Tamandua tetradactyla: one gene and its partner. The protein of the gene in region 1 interacts with the protein of each later gene in a pairwise test. Links are inferred from orthologs where the notes say so. Each region holds a gene or a part of one and is shown on either strand. Other genes may lie near its edges. The genes, in order: DHPS and EIF5A2.

The links.
Region 2: the proteins of DHPS (region 1) and EIF5A2 interact in binary tests that used the Homo sapiens proteins (3 or more experiments, as listed by UniProt). The two-hybrid records come from large-scale screens. The link is inferred for Tamandua tetradactyla from reciprocal best matches to the Homo sapiens genes DHPS and EIF5A2.

Annotation. Positions count from the first base shown.
Region 1 is NC_135337.1:89,906,546-89,914,315, reverse strand, and holds the start of DHPS (deoxyhypusine synthase), read right to left. Parts: upstream 3,387-7,770; 5' UTR 3,013-3,386; coding exon 2,806-3,012; intron 2,644-2,805; exon of another isoform or gene 2,531-2,643; intron 2,418-2,530; coding exon 2,253-2,417; intron 2,012-2,252; coding exon 1,890-2,011; intron 1,794-1,889; coding exon 1,697-1,793; intron 1,614-1,696; coding exon 1,527-1,613; intron 997-1,526; coding exon 891-996; coding exon of another isoform or gene 872-890; intron 807-871; coding exon 703-806; intron 1-702. Other genes in the region: GNG14 (guanine nucleotide-binding protein G(I)/G(S)/G(O) subunit gamma-14), read left to right, coding at 6,465-6,500, 6,625-6,717, 6,819-6,944. UniProt on the Homo sapiens protein: Catalyzes the NAD-dependent oxidative cleavage of spermidine and the subsequent transfer of the butylamine moiety of spermidine to the epsilon-amino group of a critical lysine residue of the eIF-5A precursor protein to form the intermediate deoxyhypusine residue.
Region 2 is NC_135331.1:68,341,970-68,350,648, reverse strand, and holds the start of EIF5A2 (eukaryotic translation initiation factor 5A-2), read left to right. Parts: upstream 1-5,045; 5' UTR 5,046-5,146; intron 5,147-7,682; exon of another isoform or gene 7,683-7,907; intron 7,908-7,961; exon of another isoform or gene 7,962-8,132; intron 8,133-8,679. UniProt on the Homo sapiens protein: Translation factor that promotes translation elongation and termination, particularly upon ribosome stalling at specific amino acid sequence contexts.

The DNA of each region.
Region 1 (7,770 bases):
AGGCAGGAGCGGGTAACTGGCCAGAGCTGGTGGGCATATGGCTGCGAGCACGTCCCAGATTTAGAAAGCGATGCCCTGGCTCACGTGAGGGCCCGAAGGGCTGCTGGGTAAGCAGTGGGGGGCATTTCCTCGACCCACCCAGGACCAGGTGTCAACAGGCCTCCTGCCACCTGGTCAACAAGAGCTGCTACCAACCCTGTCTTCAGAACAACCTGCAAGACCCTGCTTCTCCCTGCTTCCTGATACCCGCCTGGTCTGGGACAAAGGCAGATGCCTCCTCCCCCCACAAGCACAGAGCAGCCAGAGGGCACCTGTGAACACCTGCATCAGGTTACATCCCTGTTGTGCTTAGAGCCCTCCATGGCTCCCACCTTCCTCAGAGTAAAAGCCAAAATCCTATGCACGGTCCCAAGGCTCCACTCCACCTGCCCCATCACCCCCCCACGCTCTGGCCGTTTCCTATACCAGGAACAGCCCTCCTCCCACCCACTCGGGCACTCACAGGTCACACTTCCTAAAAGAGCCCCCCTCATGCACCCCTTTTTCTTGCCACCCTGTCACAGCACCCATGTGCTTCACGTGTCGCCTCCCTCCCCCACTAGTCTCCAGAGGCCAGGAGGCCTTCCCATCCAGTCCACACCTGTCTCCCCTCATGTGGGAGAAGGCCCACTTCATGGGCACAGCTCCCACACTGGCTCTCACCATGAGGTTGGCATTGGCAATGTGGTGCTTGACCAGGCCCCCGCCCAGGATGATCATCCCCGAGTGCTTGGCGAAGATGGCCTGGGTGTTGATGAGCCTCAGGTCTGGGGGTGTGAGGGGCTGTGTTCAGGCTTGGGGCCCAGCCGGCCCGCCTCCCCCTGACCCCTACCTGTAGCCCCAGCACACACCCTCCACGATGTCCAGGACCAGGCCCGGGTTCTTGTAAGAATGGAAGAAGATCATGTCGCCCAGCGAGCCATCCGTGAGCGCCGGGCTCAACACAGGGATGTGGTTCTGGGGGAGGGAGGGCAGGACAGGGCTTGGGGCCCGGAGCCTGGTGCGGGCAGCCTGGTGCCTCTCCCTGTTGCATCACTTCCTCCCTGCCTGACTGGGGGCAGAGGGCTTAACTTCTCTGGGCCTCAGGTTCCTCAAGAGCACTACAAGGGATAATAGTACCTCCCCTCCTACCCCCAAAGATGATGCCCATTTAACAAACCACCCAAAACACTTAGGACAGCGCCTAGCAACTAAAAGGCAGTAGCTTGTGTTAACTGACAGATGCCTAGACCTCCTGGCCTCTGTGGGGTGTGGACCCTCAGGCACCCATAGGGGCCTTGCTAAGCACTGTCCGGACTTAAGCTCCCAACTGCTCCCAGGCAGCCCAGGAGAACAGATCCGCTCAACAGCTGGGTGATGTCTAACAGAATTACTTAACTGCTCTGTGCCTAAGGCTCCTCACCTTGAAATGGGGGCAATGAGAATGAGGACACCATCCCCCTGTGGAGAGGAAGGAAGCTAACACGTGCCCCGAATCAGCCCCTCACCTTCTGGGCCCAGTAATACACCGACTCTGAGTTGTTGATCTCCTTGCCAAGCCGGGCAATCATCTTGGAAGGAGTCCACTTCACACCCTAGGAGGAGACAAGGATGAGCCCGCACTTCCTGTGGCTCCCACTGAGCCACCCTCCCCCCAGGGGGTGGGCCCTGGCCCCACCTCTGTGTTCTGCTCCAGCACCATCTGGTCCAGGATGGGCATCAGCCAGTCCTCAAATTTGCAATAATTGTCATTAGGCACCAGCAGGTTCCCAATCCTGGAGGCAGGAGGAGGTGGACATCAGGCCTCAGGGCCCTGGGGCCAGCCCCCTTGCCCAGCACCACCCAGGCCACCCAGCACCCCTCCCCCACACCTGTTGATCCCATTCTCCCGGAGCTCCTTCCCCCTGAGACTGAACTCCCCCAGGTACGTGGGTGCCAGGCACTTGATGAGATCCTCCTCCACACCCCCAGCTGTGGTCACCAGGACGTCCACCTGTGGCCAGAAGGTGGCAACGTTGGCCAGGGAAGGGGATCCCTGCCCTCAGCCTGCAGGTCTCCAAACCCCCACCTTCACCCCAAGACCCTTAGGGGCAGCGCTGCTGCAAAATCAACTGCATCCTGTCCCTCTGCTTAGGACCGACCCATCTCTCCATCATCTCACTAAAACGTTCGATGATCCTTTTGACCGCTGAGACTCAGAGGGCGTCTAGGCCCCAACCCTGCCAGGTTCCCACCATGTTATGCTGCACGAGGTAGCGGATGGACTCGCGGACGCCCGAGCTAATGAGGTTGGACGTGTAGCCCAGGAAAATGGTGCAGCCGGTGAGCGGGCGGCGGCTCCGGGTCAGGTCCGCATGATGGTCCTCGTCCTGCGACAGCGGCTCCAGCTTCTTTTCGATCTGGGTAGAGGGGCCCGATGGGCTTGAGCTCAACCCAAAGGCCCCGGGTAGGTCCCAGAGGCAGACCCCGCCCCCAAGGCCCTGCCCACTCAGGAATCGGGTACCACTTGTACCTGGTGCCAGGCCCCGCCTCCTTCCCCGCCCAGACCTCAGGGGAGGGCTCAGGAGTAGCCGCCTTTCTGGAGTCAGCATCTCCTTTGCAAGTCTAGCCCTCATAGAAACGCTCGCCCAGGACAGGCCCCGCCTCTCTCCGGCGATTGGACCGCCCCATCGGATGGCACGCCCCACCCAGCCCGCAGGAAGTCCCGCCCCCTAACCCAGGTACAGCACGGGTCCCCCGGCAGACCACGCTCCTCCCCGGGCCCGGAAGTCCCGCCTCAGGCCTCACCATGGCGTTGACTTGCTCCACCGCGCGTCCGAAGTTGGTGGCCTGGAAGCCGGTGGTGCCGAAGGCCTCCAGCAACGCGCGGTAGTCCACGCCGCGGTTGAAGTCGTAGCCCCGGACCTGGGCGCTCTCGGGCGGCAGCGCCGTGCTGTGCTTCAGCACGGCGGCCAGCGCCGCCGCGGGCGCCCCTCCTTCCAGGGGGCCCTCCATACTATGCGGCGGCGCTCCCAGGTCACGGCCGCCCCCCGGCGGGCCTCCGGCGGCGTTTAACGTGCCGGGTCCCACAACCGCTTGCTTCTATTGCCGGAGCGCAGGAAATGGGGCTCGGGAAGACCTCGGGGAGACGGACCGGAAGTAGCTCAGTCACATGATTCTCTGTGGCGCCCAGGGAGTGGCCATGTTTGCGCGGCTGTACGGAAGCGAGGAGTCTATTCCCTGGTTTGCACGTTCTCAGCTTCATATGATTAGAGTCCTACCTTTACTGCTGCCTGCTGGAAACCAGCGCGTTGTGCAATGCTTCCGCCATCCAATTCTGTCTTGGGGAGAGTACCACTTCTTAGGCGTGGCCCTTGGGCAGGATTTGGGTCCCCAGGCAGAGTCAGATACAGTTTCCTGCCTCTCATCCTCTCTAGTCACATGGCACTGATCTCTGCTCATGCCACCACGTGCTGCACAACCCTTTCCACCGGCAGCTGCAGCTGTCACCTCTGGAAAGCCTTTCCTGACTTTCCAGACTGGCCCAAAGATCTCTTCTGACAGCTCTTCCCCCTCTCTTCCCCTCACCCCCGCCCCAGGGAGACTGTAAGACTCCTGAAGGCGGGTCTGTGGCTCCTGCATCCCTCTATGCGCATCTGTGCCGGTGTGAAAGGAAGTATGCCCCCTAAGAAAAGCCATGTTTTAATCAAAATATCATTTCGTAAAGGTAGAATAATCTCTGTTCAATACTGTATGTTTGAAACTGTAATCAGATCATTTCCCTGGATGATGGGATTTAGTCAGGAGTGGTTGTTAAGCTGAATCTTGATTGGTTTATTGGAGTCATATAAGAGAGGAAATATTTTGGAGAATGAGAGATTCAGAGAGAGCAACACTACGAAGCAGAGAGTCCACCAGCCAGCGACCTTTGGAGATGGAGAAGGGAAACGCCTCCCGGGGAGCTTCATGAAACCGGAAGCCAGAAGAGAAAGCTAGCAGATGACTCCATGTTCGCCATGTGCCCTTCCACATGAGAGAGGAACCCTGACCGTGTTCACCATGTGCCTTTGCAGATGAGAAAGAAACCTTCAACTTCATCGGTCTTCTTGAACCAAGGTATCTTTCCCTGGATGCCTTTGATTGGACATCTCTATGGACTTGTTGTAATTGGGACATTGTCTTGGCCTTAGAACTGTAGATTAGCAACTCATTAAACTCCCCTTTTTAAAAGCCATTCTGCTTCTGGTATATTGCATTCCTGCAGCTAGCAAACTAGAACAGCATCTCTCTAATTGTGCGCAGGCCACCCCTTTATTGCTGGCTTAAGATATGTGGAGGCATACTACGCCTTGGGCTCTGTGCTAGGTGCTGTGGGTTTAGCAGTGAACAAGACTGACCTCTGCCCCCGAGGAGCCCACAGTCTGAAAATTAACAGTGTAAATGCTATTCAGGACTTAAACAGGGTGACGTAGGAGAGTAATTGGGGTGATTGGCGACTTCAGTTGGATGGACAGGTAGTTGGGAGGTTTTGAGCCAAAACCAGAAGGCCAAGAAAGACCCACCGCTATGTGAAGAAATCAGGGGAGGGCATTCACCCCCACCCCCAGCAGTGCAAAGGCCCTGAGGCTGGCAATGAGCCCACTTTATAGGACAGACAGAACATCCTTCTTAACACCCTACTTGGGTCTCAAATTCAATACATCCTTCCCCTCTTCACCTAAATCTGATCCTCCCACAATCTTCTGCATCTCAACCAATGTCCTCAACCTCCACTTCTCCACTTGGCCAGAAACTATGGAGTTGAACCTGAGGTCTTCCATTTTCTCAGACCCCACACCCTTCTATCAGCACACCCACTAAGTTCTACCTATCAAATAGGTCCCAGGTACACGCACTTTTCTTCATTCCCGTGGCTTCCACACTGGGCTCCCTCCCCTCCAATCTGTCTCCCAACAGCAGCCGGAGAGCCCTTCTTTAAACATAAATCACATGCAGCATTCCTCATTAAAACTCTCTAAGGGTGACTTCCCCTTGGGATAAAATCCAGCCACTTCTCCCTGGCCTCTAGGGGCACCGCTGACCTGCCCCAACACCCGTTAGCTTCTGCTTGCTCATTTCTCTGCAGCTACATCAGCCTCCATGTGCCCCTGGAACCCTCCAGCCTCTCTCCTGACCTGCAGCTCCTTTGGGTCTCAGCTCATTTATCACCTTCTTGGCCTGCTTTGGCCACTCCCCTTTGCCCTCCCCTTGCTTTTATACAAAAATGTCTGCATTATAACGTGTATTTTATTCACTGGTTGTCTGTCCCTCCCCTACTAGAATAGCAGTTCAGTGAGGACAGGATTTTGTCTCATTTCACCATTTCACCTCCTGCTTTTTGAGCAGTATTTGGAAAATACAAGGACCTCAGCAAGTGTGCCGAATGAATGAATGAATGAAATCAAGGGCATCAGGCTGGTAAGTGAAGAATGAGAGACAGAGAGGGTGGTGCGAAAATGAATTCAGAGACAGCAGGAGAGTCCAGCCTAGACAGGACCCCGCGTGCACTGGTGAATCTCATTCTAAGGGGCAGCAAAACGTTGGGAGAGTCTCAGCAAGATCGAGAGCCTGTGATGTATTTTTTAAGAGATTCCCACTGGCTGCCTTGAGGAGAGCCGAGGTGTGACCTGGAGAGGGCCGGCAGGGCTGAGTCAGCTGCCCGGGGCCAGGCAAGCGAAGGGGGACGCGACCACAGGGTGGGCGGAAGTGACCAATGCAGAATCCAACTTGAAGGCTCCCCTGATGGCACTTGAGAAAGGATTTGGTGTGGGGATAACAGGAAGGAAGGGCAGAAAAGGATTTGGAGATTTGGCCCTGAGCAGTCGAGTGGAGGGTACTGCACTTCAACTCAGGGGAGGGGGGACATAAGATTTGGGCAGACAGATAACAGAGTCTAGCTTTGATTGAATTAAAGGATGTACCAAGGAAGGAGGTGGGACCTCAGGTCTGTAATTCAGGGAACGGCTGGGAAAGGGACTGAGGAAGTCCGCTCTCTGGGTGTATGGAGTCATTTGTACCCAGGCGGTGGGTGTAGACAGAAAGGAAAGGCAGGGCTGCCCTGCTGCAATCCCGCACACAGGGGATGGCAGAGCCTGGCCAAGGAGACGTGTTGGGGAAAGGATAGCAAGGGGTCAAGCAGACCATGGAGTGGCCAACCCACCCCACCCCTGCATTCCGCCTGCCAAGCCATTCAGCCTGCAGGGCTCCCATCCCCCAGGGATCTAGATGACACGTGACACCAGGGCCACCGCAGGGGCCTCCTGGGGCAGGGACCCCCTTGGCCCAAGCAGCAGCTGAGGCTGGTGACATTTCACTGCATGGTGAGGGAGCCTCCTGGCTTCAAAGCCTTGGCGGGGGGTGACGAGGAGGGGCTGGGAGAGGGGAGGCCAGGTGGGGGTGAGAGGCAGCCAGAACCCAGCTGGCGGTGGATGGGGCGGCCAGGATCGGCTGAGTCCTCAGCAGAGGTACAGTGGCCTTGGGGGGAGGTCAGGGAGCCGCTCCCCTGCAGTCCCCAGGGGCCTGAGGGCAGTACAGGGTCTGGGGCTCTGGGGCCAGGCCCCCGCCCACCCCCAGCTCGCCTTTCCCCAGATGTCCAGCAAGGTGGCCCTTGGCAGTGACATCGGGCAGGCCCGCCGGGCCGTGGAGCAGCTACGCATGGAGGTGGGCCTGGAGCGCGTGAAGGTGAGGGCCTGGCCCAGCGGGGTGGCTTGGGGCGCCCCGGGGGTGCAGGGCTCAGCTGAGCACCGGGGCGGGGCTGACGGGATGTGGGGGGGCGACCCCAGGTGTCCAAGGCGGCCGCCGACCTGCTGCAGTTCTGCACGGAGCAGGCCAAGAGCGACCCCTTCCTCGTGGGCATCCCGGCTGCCACCAACCCCTTTAAGGAGAAGAAGCCCTGTGCCATCCTGTGACCCAATAAACATGAAGTGACCGCTGCCCGGGGTGTGGCTGGGCCTGGGGAGGTGGGCGTGCAGGTGGCAGCATCCTTGTGGCAGAGGGTCGCAGGCCGCAGGGGGGCACTGGTCCCACTCCCTCCCTCGCCTCCCCACCCCCACAGGGCAGCGCCAGCGGGCTCCCTGCGCCAACACACATCACCCACGCAGAGTTGCAGCCCTAAAAACAGGTGCCTATGTCCTCAGGCCCTCCAGTCCCTGACCACACACTCAGGCCCACAGACAAGCCACACACGCACACACACACACAGCAGTCATTGTAATGGAAACACGCCAGGACCACACACACACATACACACACACACACACACACACACAGCAGTCATTGTAATGGAAACACGCCAGGACCACACACACACACACACACACACACACATACTCATTGTAATGGAAACACGCCAGGACTGCCTCCTCCAGCCCCAAGCTCCCTGCCCGCCAGTTGCCTGCTCACATGCACACACCCGCCCCTGCAGCCCCCCCAGCCCGCACACACCCTGGCAGAGCCCCCCAGGCCCCCCAGCCACCACTGCCAGCCCCAGTAACATCACATCACGTTTATTTCTTCTCCACACACAACCTCTCCACTGTCACCACACCAGCAGGGTCCCAGGGCAAGGGCAGTTTGCTGCCGGGGCCGGGACCCCAACCTGCCTCCCCCAGCACAGGCCAGCCCAGGGCCCCCTGCCTGACCACGGCCCGGAGGCCCTGGCGCCCTGGCACCTCAGGCCCGGGGGCTGGGGGGCAGATAGCACCAGCATGGGGGAACCATCCCCCAAGAACAGAA
Region 2 (8,679 bases), on another chromosome or scaffold:
CTTAAAGATATGATGCTGAGTGATTATTGCCATTAATTTGTACATAATAATTCTGTATTATCCTTTTATTATGCATAGAATATATGGTGATTTCTCTTCTCTCATTTTTTATATTGAACATTTGCATATTCACAGATATAAAAAATATCCTAGTCTTGCTAGGGGTTAAACATTTTTGTTTGTTTTTGTTTTTTTTGAATGGGCAGGCACGGGGAATCGAACCCAGGTCCTCTGGCATGGCAGGAGAGCAGTCTTGCCTGCTGAGCCACCGTGGCCCACCCAGGGTTAAGTGTTTTAATTAATGCTTTCCTCAACTAGCTTTTGACATTGTCTATTTTTACTATTGTTTGTTTTCTATCCTTTGATTTCAGTTTTTTATTATTTGCTTTTTTCTACTTACTCCAGCAAATTACAACCAATAGGCCAAATCCAGCCCACCTCCTGTACTTGTAAATAAAATTTTATTAGGATACAGCCATGCTCATTTATTTACATATTTTCTATGGCTACTTTCAGGCTACGATGGCAGAGTTGAACAGTTGTGAGAGAGACTCTACGTCCCATAAAGCCTGAAATATTAACTATCTGGCTCTTTAGATTTACTTCGTAGATTTACTTTGCTTCTCTTTCAATTGTTTCTTAAGGTAGAACCCTGGCCACTAATTTAAACTATTTCTCCTTTTTGAAATAAATGTGTAATGAAATAATTTTCCTGCTAATTACTATTTTAGTTCTAACCTATAAATTTTGATATACTGTTTTTTTATTATTCAGTGTGATACATTTTCTAATGTCTCTTGTTTTTCCTACTTTGATCTATGAGTTATTTACAAAAGTGCCGTTTATTTCTAAATATTTGAAGTTTTTAAATATATCTTGTTGATTTCTAATTTAATTCCACTGAGGTCAGAAAACATTCTCTGTGTGTGGTAATGATTGCACAGTTACGTGATGATACTTTAGATGGATTGTATGGTGTGTGACTATATCCCAATAAAATTTCATTTCAAAACAAACAAAAAAAAAAAGAAAAGAAAACATTCTCTGGAAATTGGCCCAGCATATCTTAGAAGATGATCCACGTATAGTTTAAAAGAATGTGTATTCTGGGGGAAAAAGTGTATTCTCCAGTTTTGGGGTTCAGTGATCTATAAATGTCAGCTAGGTCAAAGTGGCTGATGATCTTAATAAGGTATTAAGATATGCTACTATGTTCTTAATGATGTTGTGTCTATTGCTCCATAAATTACTAAAAGAGGTGTTTGAAACACCCAATTATGACTGCAGACTTCTCTATTTATTCATTTAGTCCTACCAGTTTTGCTTCTTGTATTTGGAAACTCTGCTATTGGGGATATGTACATTTAAGATAAGACTTCCTGACGATTGGATCTTTTATCATTATGCAATGTCCTTCTTTTGTTTGGTAATACTTTTTCTCTTGAAGTCTACTTTATCTGATATTAGTATAGCTACTCCAGTATTTTAATGTCTACTGTTTGAATGCCATAACATTTTCCCATCCCTTCATTTTCAACCTTCCCGTGCCCTTTTTTTAAAGTGTTTCTTGTAAATGGCATATAGTTGGGTCTTATGATTTTGTTTAGTCTAATAATTGCTGCCTTTTGACTGGAGTGCTCACACCACTTACATTAACATAATTATTAATGGGTTTAAATTTAGGCCTATCATTTTCCTATTTGTTTTCTTTTTGCTCCATAGAATTTTTGTTTCTTTGTTTCTCTTTTCCTGCTTTTGTGAGGGTTAATTTAATACTTTTTAGTGTTTCATTTTAATTTTTATTGGCTTCTTATCTATTGCTCTTTACATTCATTTTAGTTGTTCCAGGGATTATAATATGCATTCTTACCCAAACTCAGTGTATTTAGGGTTAATATCATATCACTTTATGTAAAATCTAAAATCCTTGCAACCTCCCCTTGTGGGAACCAGAGGAAAGAACCAAGGAACAGAAAAGGGGCTCATAACAATTTACTTCCATTTATCTTCCATCTTCTGTGCTACTATCATATCTATTACTTTTATACATGGACTAAACCCCAGAATAATGTTTCATGTGTATGTTTTGCTTTAATCAATCATATAACTTCTCACTCTGCCACAGCATCACCTGCCCTGGGACTGGGGTGGTCAGTAACCCAGCCTGCTGTACCCCAGCTGTACCTGGGGTACCTCTTCCCCATGCAGAATATCTTGGGTGAGGGGACTATGGGCAGAACGGGGGTAGTCAATAAGGGTGAATATATGGCGCTGGTAGTAGCAGCAATGATGGTGGATATTTTACGAATGAAACATTGAAAAAATGACACAAATTTCCAGAGGTGGTTTGTTGGAAAAGAGGAAAGATGGAACCAGAACGTTGGGGTCTGGGGAGGAGCAGGAGGGTAGGAGTGGGTAAGGTTATCTCCTTGTTATTAGTGGCCCCCCTGAGGAAAGGGGAAAGGGGCCTAGAGTGGAAGCAGACAGATTTGGGCAAGTGGCCACCAGAGGAACCTGGGCCTCCTCAACCCCACCTGTATGAAAGATGAAATGGCATCTCCCTCATTGCAATATGCTCAGATTCCAGGGAGAGGACAAGGTGGCCTGGAGCAAAGAGCTGGGGAATCCAACTCCTCCTGCTTCCTGCACAGGGAGCTGTGAGGCCCACATGGTGACAAGGACGCGGGTTAGTTGGGGGCGTCCTTGGAGCCTGAGCAGCCTCCTCCATTGTCTGCACCCGCTGCTGCCAGTATGGGGCACGTCAGCGTAGGATGGGGCTTGGGCCTCTTTTAAGGCCAGGGGAGCCCCACCAGACACACTTATAAGGAACCAGAGGGAAGAATGTAGGAACAGAAAAGGGGGGCCCAAACCAGGAGCACAGGCAGCAATGTCTCTCCCCAGAAAGAGTGTGACGCAGCAGTGAGAGGGTGCGGCCAAATGAGACGTGCCTTGTCAAGGAGGGTGTGTGTTTTGGGGCGGTGCAGTGGGGCAGAAGAGTGGGAAGGGTCTCTGGGAACCAAAACCTATGGAAAACTTCCCATTCGGTCCACAGATGGTCCACGGGAGACTCTAGCATGGCGGGTGTGCTTTGTAGTGGGTGGTGGTGAGAGCATGGGCGGGGGGCGCAGGCAGAGCAAGGTGGGCCAGTCCCAGGACACCGCTCCTCCCTGCCAGAGGGGGCCCCTCTCCACTTCCGCGGACTTCTGTGAAATGCCCTCTTCTCCCTCCTCCAGTTTTGGGCGCCTGCCTCTCGATTATCCTGCCTGGCGCTATAGTGATTTTGCGGGTAGGGGAGGGCCCTCGTTCCTGCTCGCCTTGGCTGGGCCCGGAGACCCCTTAAGTGCTGGTACTCCGCTCCGCTCCTGAGGAGGCTGCTTGCGTCCTTTCCCTGCTTGGAGGCTTAGGGGCAGGCTGGATTTAGCTCCATTCGCCAACCTTCCCTTACCGGCAGAGCACGTGAAGAACGCTGGCCGGGCCACGGGCCTGACCGCGCACAGGGCTACCAACAGCCACCAGTCTGGGTGCAGGGCACCTACCGGGCTCCGCCGCCACCGCCTCGGGGAGCCAACGCCCCAGAAATAGCCCCGGCCTTGGAGTCCCAGTTGTTTTTTGGCGGGGGTTGGGGGGGTGGGGTGGGGGTGGTGTTGCATGGTCCAGGAATCGAACCAGGGTCTCCCGCATGAAAGGGGGGCATTCTAACCACTGAGCGACCTCTGTATCCTCTAAGTTTTCCTCCGAAGCCCACCAAATGCCTTCTAACTAAATAAAACCTTCCAAGGTATGTACTGTGGTTCTTGTAAAAGTGATACATTCAGTTTATAAGTATGGTGCATCTTGAGTTCTTTTAAATCTTCTATTTATAAACCTATGGCGATTTCAATCTAAAACCATAAGATTAATTCAATCACCCAACTGTACATTTTAAATTTGGAATCTCAAGGCTTATCTTTACTCTAATATCCTGACTATTATAAATAATTGAAAAATCAAATCTGTACCAATTTTTTATCAAAAAATATCAAACCCACCAGTGTGCTTACATTATTACTTCTATACATAATCCTAAATCTTCCCGAGACTATGTAAGTAAGGAAACAGTCATCCCAAACAATTTAAAATGGTGCCAGTGACAGGTCCAAATTTGCAATCAAGATTCCCAGAGTTGCTTCATTTGGTCCTTTCTGCACAGTTTTTCCCTTGTCATTTGTGGCAAGCTCTTCATTAAATTCTCTTTTTGTTTAATCAGGATTGGTTTCTTTTGTTTGCAACCCAAGAACCCTAACTAATCTGAATTGATAACAGGGAGCAGTAGGCTGCAGATTTTCCTGTAAATGTGGGTATCAAAAACTGGTTACTAGGGAAAAAAACAAAAAAGTGATTAGTAGGGCAGGCCATGGTGGCTCAGCAGACAGAGTTCTCACCTGCTATGCCACAGACCGGGGTTCATTTCCTCGTGCCTGCCCATGCAAAAAAAAGTAAAAAAAATACGATTTGCTAATGCACTGGTGGCTTGGTGACAGAATTCTCATCTGCTGTGCCAGAGACCCGGGTTCGATTCCTGGATCCTGCCTATGTAAAAGTAAAAAAGGACTATGATTTTTCTGAGAAGCAAACTAAAGAGCTTCTCTCATAACTCTCTTGATTCTTTCTTTCTTCTCCATGTTCTCAGATTTACTACCAGGTAATTCCTTCCTAACTGGTTTCCACTTCCAACATTTTTTCTCCTAATAAATTCTCTGCACTGCAACTAGAATGATCTTTCTAAGTAAAAAAATATGTTGTTGTCAATTCCGTATATATAGACAAAGGGAGATATAGATATATACATACAATGTTTCTCAATTACCCTTGGGAGAAAGTACAGATTTGTTCATCTCTCTTTACCATCCACATCAGTTCCGCTAAACCATTTGCAGTACCAGATGATGCCATGATTCTGTCACCTTTAGGCCTTTGTACCCCCATTTCCTTTGCCTAAATCCCTTTCAAACCCTCTCTCCATTGAGAATTTCTACTCATTTTTCAGATTTCAAATGAGATATTCCCAAGGGTAGCAGTCTCCAAACCTCCCAGACCTGTGATGTCAATATAACTACACCTAGCGGCTGAGCACTTGAAAGGTGTCTCTGCTGAATTGAGATATACTGTAAGTATGAAATACATGCCAGATTTTGAAGGCTTAGTATGAAAAAGTGAATGAGAATATTTTATTAATAATTTTTATATTGAGTATATGTGAAATAATATCATTTTGGATAAATGGGTTAAAAAACTACATTACTGAAATTAATTTCATCTGTTTCTTCTTACTTTTTTATATGGCTACAAGAACATTTAAAATTATACATGCTTTGCAAGATATTTCAATTGTTAGACTAAATAAGGAATCCCTTCTTTCAGCACTCTGTAGTTATTTCTCTAATAGCATTTATTCTACTCCATTAAAATTGCTAGTTTGCTTCTTTTTTTTTTTTTTTAGACAGAGAAGGAAGGAAGGATAGAAGGAAGGAAAGGAGGAAGAAAGGGAAACATCTTTCTTATTTTATTATATTTTGTTTGTTTGTTTGTTTTTTACATGGGCTGGGGCCGGGAATCGAACCGGGGTCCTCCGGCATGGCAGGCAAGCACTCTTGCCCGCTGAGCCACCGCGGCCCGCCCAAAATTGCTAGTTTGCTTCTTACTACAAGCATCTACTGACTGGATTGGTTAATAACTCCAGAACCATGGGTACTTCAATATTTGTTGAATGCATGAACCTTTGATTTAAAATCCAATGCTTTGTTATCTTATGTGAATGTAGTATGTGTGCTGGTTGAAGTAGTGAATTTTGGAGCCAAACTGCTTAGATTTCCATCTTGGCTCTCTGACTTGCTAGCTGTGTGATCTTGATCAGGTTACTTAACCTTCCTCTGCCTTTTTCCTCAACGAAAAATGGAAATAGAATAGTAGTTGTGAACGATAGCCAGGGGCTGGGGTCGCAGGCATGGACTGACCACAAGAGGTACCTTTTGGAGCAAGAGAAATTTTCTCTGTCTTGATTATAGTGGTGGTTACATATGGCATGTCTCTCAAAGCTCACAAAACTAAAAACGATGAACTTTGAATAAATATAATTCAATAATCCTGAGGTTTAAAAAGAGTAGCAATGAAGATTACATTCATAATGCACGTAACACTTTTAGCACAACCCCCACCCACATACATACACTTTAAATATTAGCAATCATTCTAGTAACAATAATAATCAAACAAAGAAAGGTTGAGTGATGTAACGAAAAGCAGAGTGGACTCATGAACAAGGGTTCCAATCTGTCTCTTTCACATATAAGCTAGAGACTGAGTTCAATATATGGCGACTCACTTGCTTATTGTGAAAGTTAAATTCATCAACACGTAAAATATCTGTGTAAACTGTGAAGCCACATAGAAATGTGAGAAAAGGGATTATTCATGAGACAGCAATACAAAATCATAGGACCACACATAAAGTGAGGGTGGGAAGTGGTTTCCTAGGTTGCTTCTCTAAGGTGGATCCTGGTGAGTGGTGAAAAGGAACTATAAACAGATGCACATCTCTTTTAAGAACCTTTGTCCTTGTGCTGGTTTGAATTTGTGGACCCCAGAAAAGCCATGTCCTTTAATCCTCATTCTGTACTGCTGAGTGGGAGCTTTTTAATTATCCATGTAGATGGATACCCACTCAATCGTGGGTGGTAACTTTTGATTAGATGATTTCCATGGAAATGTGTCTGTACCCATTCAAGGTGGGGTTGCTTACCAGAGCCCTTCAAGAGGGAACCATTTTGAAAAGAGCAGCCACAGACCTTTGGAGATGATGAAGAAGGAAAATGCCCCTGGAGGAGTCTCATGAAACAAGAAGCCAGGAGAGAAAGCAAGTAGATACCACTGCCATGTTCACCATGTGCCTTTCCAGAAAGAGAAACCCTGAACATCATTGGCCTTCCTGAACCAAGTTATCTTTTCCTGAACGCCTTCGATTGGACATTTCTATAGCCTTGCTTTAGTTGGGATATTTTCTCAGCCTTAGAACTGCAGCTTAATAAATCCCCCCTGTAAAAGCCGTTCTGTTTCTGGTATATTGCCATTCTGAGAACTAGCAAACTAGAATGGTCCTTAATATTATTCAAGTTTCAGTAGTTTTCAGTTGGGTGTGAAAGATAATCCTACTGCTTCAATAAAGTTATGTAAAGACCCCCAAAACTCGAAAGTACCTCAATTCCACAAGGAAAGAAGGGCTGACTGTGCAAAACACCTCCTTTGAACAATATGGCACAAGTGAGATCACCTCCCTCACAGCCTCTGGTGTGGGGAAAGGGTTAGGTCATGTCACTACTGCTTTTTATGTAGTGCTGTCTCAGGGTTTCCCACTCCTGAAAATGTTGCTACCTCTGGTGGGGCACCCTTGTTGTAGTTGCGGCCAGAATGTCATCATGAGGTGCCTAGGACCGCACAGCCAGGCAATAAAATATTGCATCTTGGCTGTTCGTAGAAAAACAAGCGTGGGTTCAAATCCCTAAGAGGATTGCAAGCTCAATCAAAAGCTGAAGCCAAAGTTCTCTCCGTAGCCCGGCTGCGCCTCCGCTCAATTCGCGCGCATCGCGAGTTCTGAGAGCGGGTGTCACGTGACAACCCCAGGCATTCTGAGGGCAGGGGTGACTGAGTTCTTGGTATTGGCCCTCATTTGTTCCCGTTAACGTTGACTGGAACTCCAGCGCAACGAATTTGAGAGTTTGACTGAGCAAGTTTCCTTTCCGGCGAGCAGCGGCTCAGCAGCAGGACGCCAGAAAGCACTCTCCACACCGGAAGTGTACTAATCCGCAGCACGTGGGGTTGCCAGGGCTCTCTTCACGTGACTGGGCGGGGCCCTGGTAACCGTGTAGCCAATGGTAAGGCGGTAGGGCGGTGCCTGTGACGCGCCGGGGCCTATCCCGGAAGTGGAGCTGAGGTGGGGGCGGGAAAGGGCGGGGAGGCCGGGCAGTGGAAAGTGTGGCGGCCCCGCCCGGACTCTTGGAACTGCTGCGGCCGCCACCGCTACCGCCGTCTGCGGTCGCCGCAGCTTTGGGGAACCGGCGCGGGTGCGCAGGCGAAAGGCGCTCTTTCCCTGCTGAAAGGTGAAGAAATATGGAGAAGCTGGTGGGACTGGGAACGGCGCGCGGCCGGAGCCAAGCCCTGACCGAGGGAAGGAGGAAGGATGGATGGGGGATAGAGACGAGCTCGGGGTCCGCCGGGGCGAAGGCCCGTGCAGGGCCGGGTGCCGACGGTGCAGGGGCTGCCTGAGTGGCCGGGGCGGCGGGTCGAAGCGCGGGATGCGCGCCCTTGCCCGAGGACCAGGCACTGCCGGCTGGGTCCCCTTCTTCCCCATCCTTCGCGGGCCCGTGCGGCCTGGGCTGGGCCCCCGGCAGAGGGGTTCGGGGCGTTGGGGAGGGCAGGGCCGCCCGGCGCGGGAACGTCGCCAGCCCTGCGGTGGGAAGGTGGGGGCCGGGACCTGCTTGCCCTCGGCGCGGCAGAGCGTCCGAGGGGTGTAGCGGTCCCCCACCAAGCTCCTCTGCGACTTCCCTCCCCACCAATGGATGGAAAACTTTGGAGAAGTCGGAGTTCGAAAGTGGCCTGTTCGTCTTGGGTGGGTGTTCTATAGATACAAAAATAATAGACCCATAG